Canis lupus familiaris: one gene and its partners. The protein of the gene in region 1 interacts with the protein of each later gene in a pairwise test. Links are inferred from orthologs where the notes say so. Each region holds a gene or a part of one and is shown on either strand. Other genes may lie near its edges.

What was found.
Region 2: the proteins of KASH5 (region 1) and CYBC1 interact in binary tests that used the Homo sapiens proteins (3 or more experiments, as listed by UniProt). The two-hybrid records come from large-scale screens. The link is inferred for Canis lupus familiaris from reciprocal best matches to the Homo sapiens genes KASH5 and CYBC1.
Region 3: the proteins of KASH5 (region 1) and GOSR2 interact in binary tests that used the Homo sapiens proteins (3 or more experiments, as listed by UniProt). The two-hybrid records come from large-scale screens. The link is inferred for Canis lupus familiaris from reciprocal best matches to the Homo sapiens genes KASH5 and GOSR2.
Region 4: the proteins of KASH5 (region 1) and NRIP3 interact in binary tests that used the Homo sapiens proteins (3 or more experiments, as listed by UniProt). The two-hybrid records come from large-scale screens. The link is inferred for Canis lupus familiaris from reciprocal best matches to the Homo sapiens genes KASH5 and NRIP3.
Region 5: the proteins of KASH5 (region 1) and PPP1R18 interact in binary tests that used the Homo sapiens proteins (3 or more experiments, as listed by UniProt). The two-hybrid records come from large-scale screens. The link is inferred for Canis lupus familiaris from reciprocal best matches to the Homo sapiens genes KASH5 and PPP1R18.

What each region holds. Positions count from the first base shown.
Region 1 is NC_049222.1:107,771,335-107,775,529, forward strand, and holds the start of KASH5 (protein KASH5), read right to left. Parts: upstream 2,801-4,195; 5' UTR 2,540-2,800; intron 690-2,539; exon of another isoform or gene 689-689; 5' UTR 594-688; coding exon 551-593; intron 142-550; exon of another isoform or gene 125-141; intron 1-124. UniProt on the Homo sapiens protein: As a component of the LINC (LInker of Nucleoskeleton and Cytoskeleton) complex, involved in the connection between the nuclear lamina and the cytoskeleton.
Region 2 is NC_049230.1:760,152-764,128, reverse strand, and holds the start of CYBC1 (cytochrome b-245 chaperone 1), read right to left. Parts: upstream 2,801-3,977; 5' UTR 2,714-2,800; intron 2,200-2,713; 5' UTR 2,163-2,199; coding exon 2,078-2,162; intron 1,137-2,077; coding exon 1,095-1,136; intron 508-1,094; coding exon 434-507; intron 1-433. UniProt on the Homo sapiens protein: Functions as a chaperone necessary for a stable expression of the CYBA and CYBB subunits of the cytochrome b-245 heterodimer. Controls the phagocyte respiratory burst and is essential for innate immunity.
Region 3 is NC_049230.1:16,663,473-16,667,596, forward strand, and holds the start of GOSR2 (Golgi SNAP receptor complex member 2), read right to left. Parts: upstream 2,801-4,124; 5' UTR 2,674-2,800; coding exon 2,645-2,673; intron 2,434-2,644; exon of another isoform or gene 2,245-2,433; intron 2,169-2,244; exon of another isoform or gene 2,011-2,168; intron 1-2,010. UniProt on the Homo sapiens protein: Involved in transport of proteins from the cis/medial-Golgi to the trans-Golgi network.
Region 4 is NC_049242.1:32,954,991-32,959,193, forward strand, and holds the start of NRIP3 (nuclear receptor-interacting protein 3), read right to left. Parts: upstream 2,801-4,203; 5' UTR 2,700-2,800; coding exon 2,654-2,699; intron 2,305-2,653; exon of another isoform or gene 2,227-2,304; coding exon of another isoform or gene 2,214-2,226; coding exon 2,053-2,213; intron 1-2,052.
Region 5 is NC_049233.1:625,434-629,412, forward strand, and holds the start of PPP1R18 (phostensin), read right to left. Parts: upstream 2,801-3,979; 5' UTR 2,667-2,800; intron 1,877-2,666; 5' UTR 1,844-1,876; coding exon 233-1,843; intron 1-232. Other genes in the region: NRM (nurim), read right to left, coding at 3,542-3,573.

The DNA.
Region 1 (4,195 bases):
TATAAATCTTTTTTAAAAATTTAGAAATGTGGCTACTAACAATTTAAAATCACAATTATGGCTCACAAGTTGGGCAGCACTGCTCTATGGACCAGGAACCAGAGTGAATACAACAGACTCTCACCTCACGGAAAGTATGTTCTAGTGGGAGAGAGAGAAAAAAACAGACAAACAGATGTCTGTCCGTGCTCTGAGGAGAAGCAGGAGAGGGGAGTGAATGTGAAAGAAAGCTTTTCAAAGGAAGGAGAGATCTGAATGAAGTGAGGGGAAAGCCTTAGGGAAGGGTGCCCTTCGCAGAGGGTACATATAGCGAGTGCAAAGGTTTCTGCTCCAGCTTCCGCAGAGCAGACAAGATGTGGTGTCCACACAGGTGGGCACACAGCGGGCCCTTCAATGACAGCTAACTCTCCCACTCCAACCCTGCACCAAGGTGGAGGCTCAGACACCCCAAGCCACCTCTCTCAAGTCCCTGAGGCACAACGTGGCACCCACTCCCCAACTGCTTCCCTCCTCATCCTCCCATGGGGATAAAAAGGGGATAGCCACCTACTTTTTGCAGCAGGGCCACCTGCCTGGCCCTCTGGAACGTCCATGGGCCACCCCGGTCGCTCTGCAGGTGGTGGAGAAACTAAAAGTCTGCCTCCATCCCTGGGAGGGGCTGACAAAGGCTCGAAGGCTCTGAGAGCTCCTGGAAGGACAAATGGGCATAGCCTCCTCAGACCAGCCACCCCGCCCCACCTGTGCCCCAGGCCGCTCTGGGTTCCCAGAACCTGTTTGCCCACCCCTGCTTCCACCAGAGCAGCTCCCGCTCAGACCTGTTTTATGGATTGGAGGTGTGGGCTGGGGAAGGGGGGGGGCGAGGAGTGGGCAGCAGAGATCAAAGAGTGGCTGGGGGTGGGGGTCACTCCCTCCTTGCTTCCCTTCCACTCTTCCTGTCAAGTCCCTAACCTGGTTTCTCTTTGCCCTACGACTTTATCCTGTCCACTCCTCTCCTTCCCTACATCTCTGGGCCAGGCCCCATCCTTTCCTCCTGGACCCTCATCCCATCCTCCCAAGCCTCCCGGTCTCCAGACTTTCCCCTCCTATGCATCCCCACAGGGCCCCAGAGCTGACCTGCCCCTCTCCTGCTCCCATGGCTCCCCAGTACCCCAGGGACAGAACCTAGACCCTGGACCCAGCATCGAAGGCCCTTTCATGGCCTGGCCCTGCCCACCTCCGCAAACCCAAATCACACTTGCAGTTCCAGCAGCTCTGAACTGCATGCTCTCCCCCACACCGGCATGGCTGTTTCCACCCCCCCCCCCCCGCCCCCCGCCCCCCGCCCCTGGTTTCTGCCTGGGACAATCTCCTTTCCAGCCCTTCCTGTCTTGGCTCACATCCCCCTACTCTGGGAAAATGTTTCCGAATGAGCTGCTGTGTCTGGATTCTCACACTGCCCTGGGTGACTGACATTCTGCTATATCAGCCTGTTTTAGGAACTGTTTGGCTCCCATGTGAATGTGACCCCATCTTTTTCCTACTCCGATCCCTGCCATGGATCCCTAGCGCCCTCAGGACTAAGTCCTAGCCCTTCTGGCTCGTGTGGGACAGAGTGCTCTCTGCAATTCTTTGTCTCTTTTTGTCATTTTTCTCTCCTCTGGCTGACCTCCAGGGCCCTCACCCTCATCACAACTATGGCACTTGTGGCCCCTGCTCTGGCTTACAGCCTCCCTGGGGAGCCTTCCCTGACTCCCCGGACCAGTTAGGGACTCCCTCCTCTGTGCCCTGACAATGACTTGTCCTGCCTCCATTATAACCAGCTTGACTATATGACTTACTGTCCCAATGCCAGGACACTTTCAAGAGCAAGAATGGTGCTATTAATAATTACGCCGGACAACACTGCCCATCGGGGCTGAACTGGGCACACTAGGGCAGATGGTCAACATCAGGTCACCTAGGGCCTGTCTGTCCTCACCCCACCCGCTCGTCACCCCTTTCCTCTCCAAGTGCTCCCTACACCCTGCTCTCCCTGGCCTCAGCCGGCTCCACAGCCATGGAGTGCACACTTCCTGGAAACTTTTAGAATGTCCTAGAAAAAGCGGTCTTTGAAGGGAGACCTCCAGGTTTGGACAACGCTGGAGGGGTGTCGGGGTGGAGGTGGGGGTGATGGCTATGGGGCCTGAGTAGTGAAAGGTCTGGCACTGGTAGCCCCGGATAGGGACTTGAGGGGAGGAGGGAGAGTGAGGGAGGGTCTTTGACAGGCAGGCTAGAGCAGGAGGAGGACACAGGCAGGATTTAAGGGGGTCTGGGTCTTAAAGGGGTCTTTGAGCAGGTTTCTGGGGCGTCTCTGGATTTCTGGGGGTGTCTGACTGGATTCCAGAGGTCTCTGACAGGATCTGGGAAGGTACTCTGACAAGAATTTTGGCGGGTTTGACGAGACTTCTGGGGATCTCTGACAGGACTTCGGGCAGGGCGGGGGTGTCCCTGATAGTATTTGGGAAAGGAATAGTAGTATGGGGGGGGGGTAGCTCGGCAGGCTCTGAGGGAGAAGTCTGACCGAATTTCGAGAAGATTCTGAGGAGATTTCAGGCGTCGTCTATCGGATTTCCTGGAGAGTACTTTTCAGTATTTCTGAGGGTGTTTGGTCAGGATTTCAGGAAAACCTTTTGGAAGGCCTTGATATCGGAGATGCTCCCCCACGATTCAGGAGCTCCAACAGGGCTTCTCTCGGGAACCTCGCCGCCGCCGGGGCGCACCTGGGCCCACGTACGGCCGGACACAGCGGGAGACCACGACTGACCAACGGCAATTGGGTAGCACGGAGGTGCGCGTGCGCCGTGCCACCAGGAAAAGACAGGGGGCGGGGCGGGACCGAGAGCGCGCGTGGTGTCTAAACCCCGCCCCACCTGGGCTCCTCCTCGCGACGCAGGCGCGCACCGCGCTCGCTCCTGTCTGTTACCTGCAACCGCGAGGCCGCGCATGCGTAGGGCTACCGGGGCGCGCACCCGGCCTGGTGGAGCGGGCGCATGCGTATTGGCCGAGCGGGTCAAGGCTGCGGGGGTTACCGCGGGTAGGGCACCGGAGGTGTCCCTGCGTCCTCTGCGCCGGGATCTTCTCCTCTCAAGCTTGAGTGTAATGGGCCCAAGTAAGGGAGAGTTGGATTGAGGCACCTCTTGTCCATCCCCTACTTTTTATCAGCTACTAAGTCATGCCCCTTTGCCGTCTGTTCTGTGCCAGGCTGCCCATCACCATCACAATGATGTCCTGCCCTGTCTTGCTCTAGCACTCCCGCGCCCTCTGGGGCTCCAGTCACCATATATTAATAAATCCCTGAAGGAGTCTTTCTCAAACCGTTTCATTCATCCTTTATAGGAGAGAGTGGGGGAGGAAAATACCCTGTTTTTCCCATCAGACAAGAGAGAATTACACCCAAAATTGACTCCCAAGAAGGGGGATTTGGGACATAAGATGTGCCAGCCATCCGTCTGCCTTTCTGCTAGCAGAGACACAGAAAAGGTTGCATCCCACCATCATTCATTCAGCTGTCACGTCCTCAGACCTTCCCCGGTCACACTGCTGCATTGGGCCCCCTTCTCACTAAACACTTACAATTTCTTAGTGGTCCTCATGGCATGTCTCACAACGTGACATGTATATCTGTGTACTGTCACCCCACTGGAATGTGAGCTATATGCAGTAGGAGGCTGTTTTGGGGCTACAACATGCCTGGCCCAGTGTGAGGGCTCAAAAAAAAAAAAAAGTGTTGAATGAATAAGTGAAGGAATGGATGGAATCCAAACCTCTTAACTACTGGGCAGTATAGAATTTATGACAAGGCTGTGAGCCCAGAGGCAGACATTCTTGGGTTTGAATTTTGGCTCTATTAACTTTGTTGGCACAATGGCTTACCCTCTCTGAGACTCAGGTTTCCTCTCAGAAATGGAGATAGTAATTGCTTCTTAGGTTTCCTTGAGCACTTAAGGTGATAATCGCTGTTAATTGTTATTATCACTGCTATTAGATGGTGACTTGTCATAAGGTCTGGGAAAGAACCTGTTTGACAGGTGGTGTGATGAGTGGTTAAAAGGGTGAGATAGGGAATCAGAAAACCAATGCCACTGCTATGTGACTTTGGCAAGTGACCTCACCTCTCTGAACTTCAATTTTTTCTTTAAAATGGGAACAAATAGTATGCACCTCATGGGGTCTTGAG
Region 2 (3,977 bases), on another chromosome or scaffold:
CACCTACAGCCACACCCTCTTGGGCTCCCACGTGTCGGGAGCACGGGGCCAGGGGGCGTGGAGACAAAGAGAGGCATCAGAGCAGGTGCTCTCCCCAAGCTGAGGTCACTAAACGGGAGTGGGGGCCAGAGAGCAACCGTGGGTCCTGTGGTTCCTCAGGAAGGGCCCACCAAGGAGACGGTCCCTCACCCAGGGCACCTTCAATCTGCTCCGTGCTACGGCAACACCACGGAGCAAGGAATTCGGTGGAAGCAGTCGCAAAGCGCGTCTAGGAGAAATACAGCTTCGGGGGATCCCTCTGCCCAGGGGCTGAGTCCTACTAACCAGAAACCTCGAAGCTGAAGTTTGAGGACAGGGGGTGTGTGAGGCCTCTGAGCCTCTCCCCCTGCGGTGATTCCCACGGCGCCCCCACCCTCGCCTGCGCTGGCCTTACCTCCCAGTCCTCCAGGTTCTGCACGGCCACGAACAGGCAGCCGGTGACATAGAAGAGCTTCCAGCCCAAACTATCTGCAGAGCAAACAACAGGCAGCGGGTGAGGGGCAGCAGCAGCGGGCGGAGGCCTGCGTGCCATGGGCCCCCTCGCCAGCCGATACCGGGCAGGGGTGGCACCTGGGGCCAGCAGACCTGGCCCAGGGTGGCCGCCCGGCACTGCTGGCCCTGCCTGTCACTTGGAACCATATGTGAAATGTCCGGCCAGCTCTGTGCCCTCCACTCTCCCTGCAGCATCTGCTGGAGACACGGTGTGACTGTGACGGTGGAGGGAGCCACCTGCAGGAGCAGCTACAAGTGTGGCTTAGCCTGCAACAGCCTCAGGCAAATACAAGAGCACCTTTTAAGAAAGTTTCATCACCAGGGAAAGTGCTCCAGATACGAGAAGGGAAGAGCACAGGTGGCACGGGACAGGCTATTAGGAAGGATGCACCAGTGCTCAGGCTGGGGCAGCACCTGCACAGGTGCCTGTGGCCCCAAAGGCTGGGGCTCAGTGGGCACCACTAATGGTGAGTTCTCTCTCTCTTTTCTCTATTTCTCAAACAGACTAAGTGACAGGGTGGGCGGGAGGGGGGAGGGGAGGGAGGCAGGGGGATGCACCTCACCTCCACTGTAGTATGCAGCAGCCAGGCCAATGGACAAGATTCCTGCAAAGAGAAAAGAAAGCAGGTGCTTCTATTGGGCCACCAGCGGCCTAGGGCCCCCTCACTTGGAGCCACAGGCCCAGAGGTGCAGGGAGAGCAGGCCTTCCTGGTGCCAGGGTGCCTGGAGGTGGGGAGCAGGGGAACCAGAGACCATGGCTCAGGAAGGAGGGCAAGAGGCAGGAGGCGCGCTTGGGACCATGGCAAATGCCATTCTGCGTTCCGGGAATCTGTTCCTCTACCTGGGGCTCCAGGGCTGACCAGCGAACCAGAGGGAGGAGCCGGACAGCAGGGGTTTACTCTACCAGCGCAGCATGTGCGCAAGGACCACGTGTGGCACATGAAGCACTACAGGCAGGTGGCCACGAGCAGGGTGTCGGGAATGACGGACCAGAGGCAGGCTGCTGAAGGCACAGCCACACCACTCCTCACACCAGGCCCACCAATGGCCTGCAGCTGCCCCCGCGTGCTGGACGCCCAGAGGGACAGTGAAGGAGCGAACTGGGGCCCACCGCCCAGCCTGACGCCCGCACCCGGGCATTGGGAGGCAAGGAAAAGGAGAACACCAGGACCTCGGGAGAACAGGCACAACCTTAAGGTGAAGGTGGAAAAAGGACAATCGCACGGAGGATAAAAGCTAGAAAGATATGAGATAATTGTTGTACTTGGGGGCAACAAGACAGTTTTGTTTCCGTTGTTTTTATTTTTTTATTTTTTAGTTAAGATTTATTTATTTATTTATTTATCATAGAGAGAGAGGCAGAGACAGAAGAGGAGGGAGAAGCAGGCTCCATGCACCGGGAGCCCGACGTGGGACTCGATCCCGGGACTCCAAGATCGAGCCCTGGGCCAAAGGCAGGCGCCAAACCGCTGTGCCACCCGGGGATCCCTGTTTCCGTGTTTTTAAAGTTAGGTTTTTAGCTTGGGGGAAATACGGAAATCCTTACCAACAAGCAAAGACCAGGACCTGATGCCCGGAGCCCTCTTCAGATGGAGGCAGGAGCTGCTGCGGGACTCCACCTGCATGTACATCCCGGGCCTGGGCGGGCAGCGCTCCGACGCAGACGGGCTGGGGAAGGGCGAGGGCAGACCGCGGCTGGGGTCCAACCGCCCGCCCGCGGGGAGCCGGCCCGGGGGCACCGGGAACCCGCGGCCCCAGCAGCACGCGAGCCTCGCCCCGGCGCAGCCTCCCGGAGCGCGCGGTCCCCGCCAAGAAAGGGAACTGCGAGCGTCCTCGGGCGGCCGAGGCGCGGGGGGGCGGGGGGAGGGATCGGCGGGGAGGGAGGGGGAGGGGGGACCGACGGGGGAAGGGGGGAGGGGCCGGGGGCGGGTGCTGCCGGCCCGCGGACCGAGGCGCGCGGACGCGGCTGGCACCCAGCAGGCGGGGCTCCGGGCTCTCCGCGCACGCACCGAGGGTGGGCTCCGCGGCGCGGCACCGGGCTGCCCGAACGGCGGCGGGCGCGGGGGTCAGCGGCTCCCCACAGCCAGGGCCCCCGCGCCCGGCGCTCCCGCCACCACGCGCCGCCCGCAGCCCGCCCGCAGCCCGCCCGCAGCCCCGACGGCGGCCCGACCCCCGCGCCTACCGAACACACGACCCCGCGGGCGCTGAGCCGGGACCTCGCGGCGCGCGGCGGGCCGCCCACTTCCGGGGTTGGGGGCGGGACGGCTGACTTCCGGGCGAGGCGGGCCCGACTTCCGGGGCGGGGCCTCTTGCCGCAGCGCCCGCGGCGGAGGGCGGCGGGGGAGCCGGCGCCTCGGGGCGCGGGAGCGACGCCCCAGGAAGCCTGGAAAGGTAAACTGGGCCTCAAAAGTCTCCCTTAAAACATTGATCAGGGGATCCCTGGGTGGCGCAGCGGTTTAGCGCCTGCCTTTGGCCCAGGGCGCGATTCCTGAGACCTGGGATCGAGTCCCGCGTCGGGCTCCCCGCATGGAGCCTGCTGCTCCCTCTGCCCGTGTCTCTGCCTCTCTCTATCATAAATAAATAAATCTTTAAAAAAATAGAAAAATAAAAATAAAACGTTGATCAAAGCAGCTGGTGGCCCAGTCGGTGGAGCGTGTGCTCAGGTCCCGACCCCGGGGTCCGCACCTCCCCACCCAGCCCCTCTTGCTCTCAAATGAAATCTTTAAAAAAAAAAAAAAAATCGATAAACAAAAAGCGAAGATAATCTAACAGTACACGTGCACCAGCTCTGGCAAAAATGCTAAAGCTTCAGTAACATCGAAGGAGCATGAATAGCTTGTTCACGCACTGACAAGTCGTCATAAAAAATGAGCCCCGCTGCGGTGACTGCCGCGGCGCCGAGGCTCCCGGAACCGGGCCCGGCTCTCGCGGGCTAGCCTGTCCACAAAGGATTGCCGTGGGAAAGGCAGTTTTCTCCGGGAAAACCTTGCGATGGCCACGTAGGAGGCCCACCTGCTCCCTCCGCCAAATGCCACTTTCTCTTACTGCCGCAGGTGAGGACCCGAGCAGGACCCCATCACCTGGCTGCGGTCAGGAGGAGCCCCCACCCACCACCTCAGCGGGATGTTGGAAGAACAGGGGAGCTTCTCTTCTCCTTTGTCCCTTTCCTATTCTCAACATGTTTTACAGCCTTCGTAAGATTAGTGCAACGCGTAGTCCCTTACAGAGAAACGTGTGTGCACGGGTACACGTAACCCCAGGAGGCTTACCAACACAGGCACGCGACCTGACCCATCTGCTTCAGCTTCTCTCTGCCCGTGGCTTCCTAACCTGGGCAGGCATCTGAATCACCTGGCAGGCTTGTGGAAGCACAGATTGCTGGCACTTGTTCCTAGTGGTGGGAGGGGGCTGCAACGTCATCTGTTGCTAATCCGCTGGTCCAGGAC
Region 3 (4,124 bases), on another chromosome or scaffold:
CACCTACCCTTTAAACACCCTTCATTTGGCTTTTACTGGTTTCTAAGCTAAAACAGGTAAACTTTAAGTTGTAGGGAAACATTACTGACTTTTCCCATCTAAGCTCTATTATAGGCTTTGAATGAACTAGAAAAGATACTGCCAAGAAAATGATTCCAATCTCTACATTTCCTACCTGAGAGGAAATAAATGCAAAATAACCAAGCAAGTATTAATTAATGACAGGGTGGGAACTACAGTATGCTAAGCGGGAAATCTGTTTTATTTTTTTTTAAGATTTTTAATTTATTTATTCATGAGAGATGCAGAGAGAGGCAGAGACATAGACAGAGGGAAAAGCAGGCACCCTGCAGAGAGCCTGATGCGGGACTTGATCCAGGACCGGGATCACACCCTGAGCTGAAGGCAGATGCTCAATCACTGAGCCACCCAGGCATCCCAGGAAATCTGTTTTGAACTGGGAATTCACAAACACACCTGAAGCCAATACGGAACAGGTGATACACAGGTATGACTTGGGAGTGTGGACACTAGAAACTGTTAAGTCCTAGCCCCATTCAGCACGGGGTCCATGGTGGGCTTGGGTAATAATATAAACAAACAGAGACCCTAATAATAAGTCACTGTTGCTGACTCAAAAAAAAAAAAAAAAAAAAAAGTCTGCAGAAGATCCAGGAAGAATTTTAAAATGAAGTTGTCTTTTTAAAGTCCATGGAACCACCCTAATGCCCCTTCATATACACCCACTTTGTATCCATTATGCCTCTGACCACTGCAAGCAGGAAACAAAGTTTTGGAGTTAAAAGAAACTGGTTTCAAGTTCTGGTTCCACTACATAGCAGCTGAGGGACCATGAACAAGTCATTTAACTCCTTGACGCCTCAGTCTTAGGTAAAATAGGGTATTAACAATCACAATTATTTAAAGGCTCATAGATCCAAATGCAGCATGAAACTGCTGTGTAACCTACATAGCATCACAGAAACCTTAGTGGTTGTTTTTACTTAAAAGTGGTGGGAACCATCTGGCCATTTTCATCTCCCTGACCTTGCTTCTACCACATTTAGCCTCTCACCAGAAGGCAAAATCAAAAAAAGGTAAAACTGACCTTGGGATAAAATAATAGTTTTTACACCCAGCTGCTCATCAAAATCACTTGGGAGAGCTTGTTAAAAATAGAGCTTCTTCTGCTCCAGACCTAATGAATCAGAATCTCTAGAGATAACAAGGTGCAGAGCACTGAATGGTCCTGAATGATATAGAGGACAAGTATGGGCACTGGAATATCGAAAATAGAAGCCTGGCTACTTATTCCTCTATGATGTTCATTCAAATGAAGTTTTATTTAAGTATAAAATGTTTATTCTGATTTTCATCCCTTTTTTTTTCTTTTCACTCGTTCATGTGGTGATTCAGGAGCTTTCAAGACACCTAATTTTAAAATATCAATCTCAAAAAAAAAATATCAATCTCAAAATAAATAAGTTAATTAATAAAATAAAATAAAATATCAATCTCCTTCAACATACTTTCAGGGACACCGCACAAGATAACCACCAATTGGGTTCAAAGTCCCAGCAAAATTCATATGCTCGGTTACTGCCGTGTCAATTCAGTTAGACAATTGTTAATTTCTGCCAACTGCAAAAGTTAACTGCTGATGCTCACAGGGTTGCGTGTTCCTCTTTAAGACACTCCATCACCAGTTATTATGAAGCTGAAAGGAGACTCGGAGTTGAACCAGCCTCAGACATTTCACAGATCAGAAAAATAAGGTGAAGAAGTCTAGAACCAGGACTCCCAGATTCAGCACTTGAGAAGAAAAGACTAACTGTAAAAGACCAACCCTTCCTTAGCAACATGAGAAATGCCATTCCTTTTCCAATGGACTCACAGGCTGAATTTTTTTTAATCCCTTCCTGTAATTTTGATGAGCCCAGGGCTCCAGGGTGAGAACCATATTCTGTCATTTTAATACCGTTACAAAGTAGGTTCTGTAGTCTCACTCACCCAAACCAAACACTCCATCACTATGGTCTTTAGTATAAACCAGATCAGAATAAAAGCGGGGGGGGGGGGGGGTCGCAGCAACAAGCTTAGTGTCGATGAGGAGTAGGTGCTGACATCATTTAGGAACTGTGAGCTGCAATGAAGCTTTTTCTGACGACCTTAGCCCAGGGACGGCTCTTTCTAAATTGCTAAAGAAGATTCCGCTCCTTTACCCTCCATCGCATCCTGTCACACCTTAGATCAGTCTCCGGACTGTCCAACAGTAAACTATGTGGAGGGGCCCTGACTTCCCACCAGCTCTATCAATCCAGAGCGCTGAGTTGGCAGGTGCTGGACAAAGCATTATGATCCGTAAGTGTGACTTTCCCTTCGCCCAGTCTACCCAGCAGGTGGATTGCGGCCTCGAAGATCCCAGGAGCCGTCCGGCCCAACGTCTCCAGGCATCAGGCCGGACCCTCCAACCGCCGCCGACCTGGGCACCCCGCCAGAGACTGAGCGCTTCCGAGCTGCCCCGGGCTGCGCCCCGCCGGAAGGACTCGGCCTCTACACCGGCGGACGCCCGAGGCCCCAGCCAGGGGAGCCGGCCTCGCCCAGCCTGGCTGCGCTCCCGCCCGTGCCCCGACGCGGCCCTCACTTGTGCGTCTGCTGGTATAGCGGCTCCATGTCGCCGGCCGCGCCGGGTCCGGCCCTGGCTTCCTCGGAACACGTCCTCACAGAGCCCTTTCCGGTTTCCGGCTTCCGGCTTCCGGTCGCAGGACCCGCCCCCTCCTGCCAGCCAGGGCTGCCCCCACGCGCGCCCGGCTGGCGGTGGTGGCGAGAGAGGAGGAGGGTAACGGGAGAAGAGGCCCGGGCAAGAAGGCCAGGTGTAGTCAGAGGCGCTGCGGCAGATCGGGGACGAGGAAACGTGGGTTTGGGCCGGGGGCGGTCTTCAGCATCAGCTCAGGCGTTGACCAGGGCAGTCGGAGAGGACCGACGTGGGGTCCTCAGAGCCCGGCTGCAGCAGAGCAGGTGGATGGATCCCTGCCCTTCCCTGCGGTTGGCTTCGCCGTCGACTGCTCCGCTCTGGGATTGGATGGAGATTTCGCTCATCGCTGTAGTGTCTGCCCCGAGCTTCTCCTCTGTCAAATCTGTCCGCTTCCTACCCTCCCCGCCCGTCCCCCCCTCCCCATTATCCTTCCAATAAACTCAAAATGAATGAGCGGTTAGTTACTATGTGTGCAGTGGGGGAAACCGGGCTCCTCTTGCCCTCCAAAGAGGTCGCGGGCTAGGAAGTAAGATAAGTATACAAAGAAGTCCAGACAGGCTGAGCTGAGCCGGGGTCAGCCCCGTCGAAGAGTCAGGAAAGACTCCTAATGTAGGAGGTGGCATTTGAATTAGGACTCGAAGGATTGGGACGCTTCGGTCTCTCTCTCCACAGAGACCTAACCCGTGTCCACCCTCCCAGGCTTATCTGCAGTTCCTTCCAAGGGAGGAGATGTTCCTCTTCCTTTGACAAGTTGATGCTTTTATTTTCCTGTATCCTGGAGCCCACCCAGTTTTGTGTCCTAAGAGACTGTCCACCCATGTACATTCTTTCCCAAACATTTTCCCATTCTAATTATTAATGAGCACCTACTATTACCAGGCACAGATACTGGGAGCAGGATTACAGGAAAGATAGCCTTCAAATATCTCTTCTCTCGTAGTCTGTTGACAGAGCTAATTATGCCCTCCAGCTACATTATCAAGTAGAAAAGTGCTACAGTTGATACAAAGTACCTTTTTTTTTTTTTTTTCTGGAGAAAAGCAAGAAGAGTTCGTGGATGAAAGAGCCTATGAATGGGGCCTTCAAGAATCAAGTGTTTTGTTTTTTTGTTGAAGAATCAATAGAATTTTAACAGTGTCTTGCACATGCTAACCCCTCTGTAAATGTTTATGTTTAAAAAGATTTATTTTTTTGAGAGAGAGCAGCTCACTCAGAGGGTAGGGGCAGAGGGAGAGGGAAAGAGAGAATCTCAAGCTGACCCCCCACCCAGTGGAGCCCAATGCTGGGCTCTGTCCCAACACCCATGAGATCATGACCTGAGCAGAAACCAACAGTCCCTCAACCAACTGAGCCACCCAGGTGCCCCTGT
Region 4 (4,203 bases), on another chromosome or scaffold:
CCAGCCTACTGCCTATGTTTTATGCTATCAGCTCCTTTGTGGCTCAACTGACACAGACTGGAGTCAGAAAAGCAGATGGAATTCTTCCTACACAGGATGAAGTAATACACAGAATGCTAAGCAGAAGGATGGAGCGGTAGTTCCTCAGGGCCAGGGAACTCTGACAGCCCAGGATAACCAAATGTCAATCATTTCTTAAATCCAGCATAAGGGGAAGAAAAACATTCCAGATTTTACTTCTTTTTCTAAATATTCTCTCTTTATTTGTTCCTGAGGTTTCTAGGAACTAGGATTATTTTGGCCTGAAGGCAAGAAGACTTAGACCTGGTTTGCTAAATGAATCTACACTGCTTTAACTTGAAAGAAGGGAAGAAAGAGAGTTATCTCTTTTCTTGGAATGCATTTCAGTCACTCACCACTCAGAGTGAGCATAAATTATATTGACTATCCTGTGGCTTTTGCAGAAAAACTACCTTTGAAAAAAACAGAGCAAAATAACTGGGTAGCCATCCCCTGCTCAAAAACAACTGAAATTATTTTTGTCACAATGGGTGAGGGCAAATCTGATATCAGTATCTCTGTGTTATTAGAGATACTAAGAAAAAGCAGCAGATTCAGAAGTTCTCCCTTCCATAGTCATCTGGGGCTTGAAATGGCAATTTCAGTGAACCAGGCCAACACTCTTCCTTTCCTGTCAAATTAAATATTCCCAAATCTCAAAAAGTACTGAAAAAATTATACAGAGCATCTACCTCATTTAAAAGACAATTAATGCTTCACAAGTTACTGCCCAGATGAATAAAGTGATTGTGAACTTCAAGGAAACAAGTAAACCACAAGAAAACTCCAGATAGGGGCACCTGTGTAGCTCAGGTGGTTAAGCAGCTAGCTGCCTCTTGATTTTGGCTCAGGTCATGATCTTGGTGTCCTGGAATCTAGTCTGTATTGAGCTCCACGCTCAGCAGGGAGTCTGGGTGAGGATTCTCTCTCTCCCTCTGCCCTCCCCCACCCCCTACTCCCCACTTGTGCGTGTGCGCATGCCTATACTCGCACTCTCTCTAGCAAATAAATAAATCTAAAAAGATAAGAAAACTCCAGATAAAACCACAAAGTTAAACATATATTTGGCCCAGTACCACTACAGTGACTGAAGGATGAGAGTCAAATACAGTTCTTTAAACTAGTAACCCTGAATCATTCATCCCCTTTCTTGGAGAGGACAGCATAGTGTTTGCATCCAGACCTCCAGCCCTGGGGTTTCTCCTTCTTAAGGCGAACCCTCAAGAAACCTGCAAGAAAAAAAAGCCTGCGCCAGCTTCAGCTCTAGCTCCAGACGTTAGCTGGTCAGTGAGATGGAGCAGCCTGGCTTCCTCTCTCTAGCCACTCTATGTGGGTAGGAATAAGAGTAGGGGGAGAGATGAGAATGATAAAGAAATACCTGGGGTTCAAGAAACCTCCTTCACATTCGACCCTTTTTCTGCCCGCCCCCCGCCCCCCAGGATGGAAGGTTAAGATAGATAAGCCCAAAAATCAAACGGAGTAGATTTTGCATAGTGGGGAATGGATTTAACAAAATCATCTGGGTATGGTGACTGCCAAGAACCCCCCCCTTCCCACACCCATTAGGAGTCACCTCTGTCTGGGTCACCGGACCGGCCAAGCAGCCCAGCCAAGCGAGGCTCAATCATGCAATCACATTCAGTACTACGAGGAAGAATAACGGGAAGGAAAGCGACCAGAGGGCCGGAAGGCAGGACAGGGTCTCCTACACAAGAAGGGAGAGGCACGAAGGGGAGAGGCAGAGCGCAAGGCAGCGAGAGCTGGTGGAGCTACGACGGAATCCGAGGGAAAGTGAAGCAAGGAGATGCTGGCGGAGGGGAATCCGGACAGGAAGGGCGAGCCAGCGGGCAGCGGCGGAGGGGGCGGGCGCGGGGGCCCGGCCGGTGACTCAGTGAAAGCGGCCGAGGCCGGGCCCGGGGAGACCGCACGGCGCGAAGGTGACCGGCCGCCGCGCGCGGGCCTCCCGAGAGGGGCGCGGCCGCGGGGGCTCACCGTGTCCTTGGACGAGCCCAGCTTCTTGAGGCCGTCCAAGGGCAGCAGGTCGGCGGAGTCCTTATGAATGAACTGCACGGCCTGTTTCATCCGGCGCTGCTGCCGCAGCGACGCCGCCTCCCGCATGTCCGAATCCTTGCGGCCGCCCTCGCTGAGGAGCCCTGAGTAGAACATCGCTGAGGCGCCCGCGGCCCAGCGACCCCGGTCGCTCCCCGCTCCCCCGCCGCCCTCAGCCTCGAGCTCCTCCGGCGCCGCGAGAGCCGCGCGCCGAGCATTTTATAGCCGAGCGTGACGTCACGGGGAGCAGCCAGTGCGCGCGCGGAGGGGCGGGGCCAGCAAGCGCCCCCCCCGCCCGGCGCGCCGCTCTCCCGCGTCCCGGGCGGACCCGGCTCTCCGCGCCACGTCGGTGAAGGGAAGGGCCCGCGAGGGGCGACGCGGGCCGGACCGACTCAGAGCGCCGAGGGCCGGCCAGGGCCGCTTTACCCAGCCTCCCTCCCCCGCTGTGGGTGCCCCGCATCCCCTGGAGCGGGATAGGGTGTTGGGGGCCCCACGGTGCGGCGGCCTCCCCCACGCCCGCCGCGCCGCTCCCGACTCGGCTCACCTGGCCACGCCGTGGCCGACCCGGGGATCACCGCCAGCTGAGCCATGCCCCAAATCCTTCCCTCCGCGCCCCTCCGGGAGTCCCGGCGTCTACAGCGCCCTTCAGAGTTGGGATGGCTCGGGACTTCTGCAACTTCAGGTCCGTCCCCACCCACCAGGCCACGTGACTGCGGGCCTGCTGGAGCTGGCTTTCCGGGGACCCCCCCCCACCGCCCTTGGCTCAGGGCACCCCCGCATCCTCACTTGGGAGCGGGGGCGCAGGGCCGGCTGGAAACCTGCGGGTCAGCTAGGGCTGCGGAAGGCGACAGTCCCCCCTCTGCGACTGCACGGAGTGCGGCCCCACACCTGCTCTGCGGAACCCCTGACGGAAAAGCAAGGATGTCCCAGCCAACACGTAAGGGTCACCGTGGGGGAGGGTCTTTCACTCTCCTCTTCAGCTGGTTTCCAGGAGCAATGGGAACCGGGTTTTCTTTGAGTCCTCCCTACTCTGAAGCTATTCTTTTAAAAAATAATAATAATAAACGTCATTTTTTAAATTTTTAATTTTTTAAAAAAAGATTTTATTTATTTATTCATGAGAGACACACACAGGCAGAGGGAAAAGCAAGCTCCATGCAGGGAGCCGGACTGCATCAGGAACTCCAGGATCATGCCCCCGGCTGAAGGCTGGTGGGAAACCGCTGAGCCACCCAGGGATCCCTAAAATTTTAATTTAAATTAATTTAAAGTTAACATATAGTATATTACCAGTTTCAGGATTAGACTTTAGTGATTCATCGGTTGTATAGAACACACAGTGCCCATTACATCAAGCGCTCTCCTTAATGCCCATCTTCCAGTTACCCCATCCCTCCACCCATCTCCCCTCCAGCAACCCTCAGTTTGTTTCCTACAGTTAAGAATCTCTCATGATTTGCTTCCCTCTCTGTTTTCATCTTATTTTATTTTTCCTTCCCTTCCTCTGTGTTCATGTTTTGTTTCTTAAGTTCCACATATGAGTGAAATCATGTGATATTTGTCTTTCTCTGACCTACTTATTTCACTTAGCATAATGCCCTCTAGTTCCATCCATGTCTTTGCAAATGGCAAGATTTCATTCTTTTTGATAGCTAAGTAATATTTCATTGTGTATATACACAACATCTTTTTTATCCACTCATCTGTGGATGGACAGCTGGGCTCTTTCCATATTTTGGCTGTTGTGGACATTGCTGCTATAAACATTTGGGTGCATGTGCCCCTTTGAATCACTATTTTTGTTTTCTTTGGATAAATACCTAGTAGTGCAATTGCTAGGTTTGGGATAGTTCTCTTTTCAACTATCTCCATACTGTTTTCCAGAGTGGCTGCACCAGTTTGCATGTAAGCCATTCTGATGGGTCCTTCAGGCTTCCTAGCTTCTGGCCCCTATGTTGTGACTTAATACAAACTGGGTTTCCATCCTAGAGACCACTAGCACTACCCTCTCCCACCTTGTGTCTCAGGAGGAGATATGAAGCAGAAAGATCAGTTCGCTGAAGAGAACCAACAAAAGTAACAATATTGACATTT
Region 5 (3,979 bases), on another chromosome or scaffold:
CACCCTGGGAGACACACCCAGGGACAGCACTTGATTTGGGACAGAACCCTTGGGCTTGGAAATGAATGGAAAATGAGGGCTACAACAAGAAGGAAGGGTGTGCATAGAGGAGGAAGGGTAGTGGCAGGAATTAACAAGAAAGAATAGAGGAAGACAAGAATACAGGGCTATAAAAAAGAAAGGAGGCCAGAGAGAGCTGAGGCTTCTGAGAAGTCTGAGGGCTGCTCCCTACCTGTTTGTGGTGCCTTTCGGGGGACCCCTTGACAAGGCAGCTGCGGCTGAGGCGGAGGTAGCCCCCCAGAACCAAGATCTCCTCCGCAGTCGGGTACCGCTTCTTCCCAACTCCAGGAACTGCAACATCAGCCGCGGCTGGGGTGGCGGGAGTGCTGGGGGCTGCTGGGGGCACAGACCGCCGGGGGTTGACTGTGAAGGTGTGTCCACTGCGGCGAGGGGTCCCCACCCCTGGCCCTGCCTTCACCCCATAGAACAGACGGTTCATGAGGGGATCCCCAGGGGACTGGGGAGCAGGTGGGGCTGGGGGTAGGGGAAACAGAGGGGCTGTTGGTGGGGGCCGGAGATCCACCGCTTCCTCTTCCTGCCTCGTAGAGCCTTTAGTCCCAGCGTCCTCTGGTGGGAAGGGGGAGGGCACAGAGCTACAGTTCTGCAGGGTTCTCAGAGGCCTGCTCAGAGCCCCTGCCTTCTCCTTCTCAGCCTCCCCTTCTCCAGCCTCTGTACCAAGAGGCCCCAGATACTTCTCAGCAGCCTCTGGGGGTTTCTGAGGTTGAGTCTCTGTGTCCCTGGGTGTCCGTTCTCGAACCTTTCCAGAGTTCAGGGTCCATTTCCAGCCTTCTGTCAGCCTCAGGCCCCTCTCACTATCCTCCACAGGGCCGGGCCTTTGCTCTGCTGCCTCCACCTCTCCAGAGCTGCTCTCTGGAGCCTCCCTTGTCAGGGTCTCTGACACCTTTGTAATCTCTTCTGAGGCCAGTGTTGGAATTGGTCTCTCTTCTTTTCTCCTACATTCCTCCAAACAGTCTTTTCTTTCTTCTTCTGAGCTGGGCCTCCACCCTGATGCCTCCCGTTGTACCAAACTCTGTTCCTGAGACTCTCCAGAGTCGGGCCTCCATTTATGGGACTCTGACAGCTCCAACTTCTGGTTGTCAGATTCTGCGGGGCTCAGTCTACTTTCCACCACCTCTTTTCTCCTGGGGCTTTGTTCTGCAGGCTCTGCCAGTCTCAGACTCCACTCTGGAGTTTCTCCAGGGCTCAGCCTCCATTTCCGTGCCTCTGACAGTCTAGAGCTCCTGTCTCCAGACTCTCCTGGGCTCTGCCTCCAGTCCCAAGCCTCTGAAGTTCTGGGGCTCAACTCTCGGGCTCCCCCTATCCCCAACTTCCTCTCTCTGGCCTCCCTGGGACTGAGCCGCTCTTCTTTTGAGTCTCTTCCCTTGGGGCTCTGATCTCGAATTTCCCCAGGACTGGGTCTCCTCTCCCGGGCCTCCAAAGGCCCAGGCCTTCTCTCTGCAAGTAACTCTTCATTGCGCTGCTGCTGCTGCTGCTGCTGGCGCTCCTGCCGAATGAATCGGTTCTGGTGCACCGGCCCAATGGCTTCTAGGAGGACAGCCGACTCATCTGGGTCTGGAGGTCCAGCCTCTGTAGTCCCAGGGGCAGGGCTAGGTTCTCCAGGAGACAGACCAAGCTTGGCCCGGCGGCGCTCCAGGATTCCCCGCTTCCAGGCTGGCATCTGGGACAGACGATCCCGCTCAGCCTTCTCCCGGCCACGAAGGGCCGCCTCCTCCTGCCGCCGTCGGGCCAGCAGCTGTAGCTTCCAGTCCGGGATGGTAGCCATGGTCGCGCGGAGGTAGGGGTGGGAAGTGCTGGGCTAGAGAACAGGAAAGAGAGGCTCCAGAGGTCCTGGGGGTAGGGGGAGGGGAAGCAGAGGGGCAGAGGAGGGACACCGAGATGGGCCCAGGCCCGGGAGGGGAAGAGTGAGAAGATGGAGGGCAAAGTAACGGGGAAACAGAAAGTGAAAAAGCAGTGGGCCCGGCGGAGGTGGCGTCGCGGCCCTGAGAGGAAGAATAGAGATTCAGGGCGAGGAGACAGCAGTCAGAATTGGCAGCGCGGGGTTCATGGTATCGGGGAGGCCCGAGGATGTGAGCGGAGAGAAGGGCGGAAAAGGAGTCGTAACGAGGGAGGCGAGAGCCCGGAGCGGCCGGGGAGCGGGGGCGGGGGCGGCGCGAGGAGGAGGACCAGGCCGGGTTTCCCCACCGCCGCCCCAGAGGCGGGGGGCGGGGGGGGCGGGGAGGGGTCCGGGAGTCCCGCCGGGAGGGAGCCGGGACTGGAGCGGCGTCGGGGAGCCGGGAGGAGCCGGCGTCCGGGGAGGCAGCGGGGCGCGGGGCGCGGGTGCGCCCACCCCGGGGCTCCCGGAACCCCGGCGCCCGCCCCCGCCCCTCCTGCGGCAGCCCCCGGCCCGGGCCGCGCCCCGGCTCCGCGCCCCGGCTCTGCCGCCAGGCCCGGCTCCCGGCTCAGCGGCCCCGCGGAGCCCGCCGTCCCCCCGGCTCGGGGCGCACCGACAGGCAACCGCGGCTCGACGGGAGGAGCCCGAGGTCCGCGCCGGGGCGGGCGGCGCGAGACACCCCCGCCCCGAGGCCGCAGCCCCGCAGCCGACTCACACGCGCGGGGCTCCCACGGGAGGGGTGCGGAGGAGCAGGCGTCCGAGGGAGGAGGAGTGGGACCGAGGGAGAGCCGGAGACGCGGGCGGGGAGGCGGGAGGGTGACCGCGACCCGGGGCCGGGCGGGGGGCGGCGACCGCTTTGTCTGAGGACAATGGGGAGGGAAGGGGGCGCGGGCGGGGCGGCGCGGGGCGGGGCGGGGCGGGGCGGGGCCGGCTCCCGAGCCCGCGCGTGGGCCCCGCCTCCCCGGCTCCCCTTCTCGCGCCCGAGCCCCGGCCCGGCCCGGCCCTCCTGCCGCGAGCCCCGGAGAACGCAGGTGTCCAGGCCCTGGCCCCCGCCCCGCCCGCCCCGCCCGCCGCGCCCGCCGCGACTCAGGCCCCTCGAGGGACTCGCAGAGGAAGCAGCCGCTGCCCCGGCCGGGCCCGCCCCTCCCCAGGCGGTGGCCTCTCCCGGCCAGCCTGCGTCACTGCGGGGTCCCGGGCGGCCACCCGGAGACGTACTCGGAAGCCCACGGCTTTGGTAACTGGCCCCCACGACAGCCGCTGCCCAGTCTTTAGCTTCAGCCCGCGTCCCATGGGTCCCGGTCCACGGCGGGGGAACTGGGGACTTGGAGGAAGGGGGCTGGGCCTCGGGGGTGTGCCCGAGGGGCCGCCGCCCAGCGGTCGCCAGAGGGCGCGGTGGCCGTCCGGACTCGACTTCGGCGTGCCTGGGCTCTGCTGGCCTTCCTTCCAAAGTCAGCCCTCTAGTTAGAGACACACTGATGGACTGCATGCCATATGTAGAAAAAACGGGCTGAATTTTATTTTTCCGCCGCAGACGTTCCTCGGGAGGGCAGAGATCTCTTAGTCACCAACATGAAGGGCGGGAGGATCCTCTCAGGTTAGAGGACAGAGCCCAGGGCCAGCGCCTAAGGAGGGGCAAGGCCTAAGGAGGGGCTAGGTGAGTCAGCAGAGCTGGCATTACCATCAAACCTGCAGACCCTGATCCTACTCCTAGGAAGGGAAGCCTGAGGGGGAGAAGGGGATCCCTGAGGTGTAGAAGGGAGCAACAGTGGGAGGGAAGTGGGCAGGCCCACCCTTCTTCCTTAGAAGGACTGTTCTTAAGGTGGGGTGGAGGTGGGTCAAGGCCTAAACTGTGAGGAAATACTGAAGTTCCCCACCCTTCCTCCGTGGTTTGGTGAGAAGTAGATCTTGGGGTCCAGTGGTTGAAATTCAGGATTAGGGTATGGAGCTGGGCCCAAGGAGTGGAGGCTCAAACAGGGGAAGGGATGGCCCCTTCAGTCCATAGATTTGGGCCTCTGGTCTGAAGCAGCC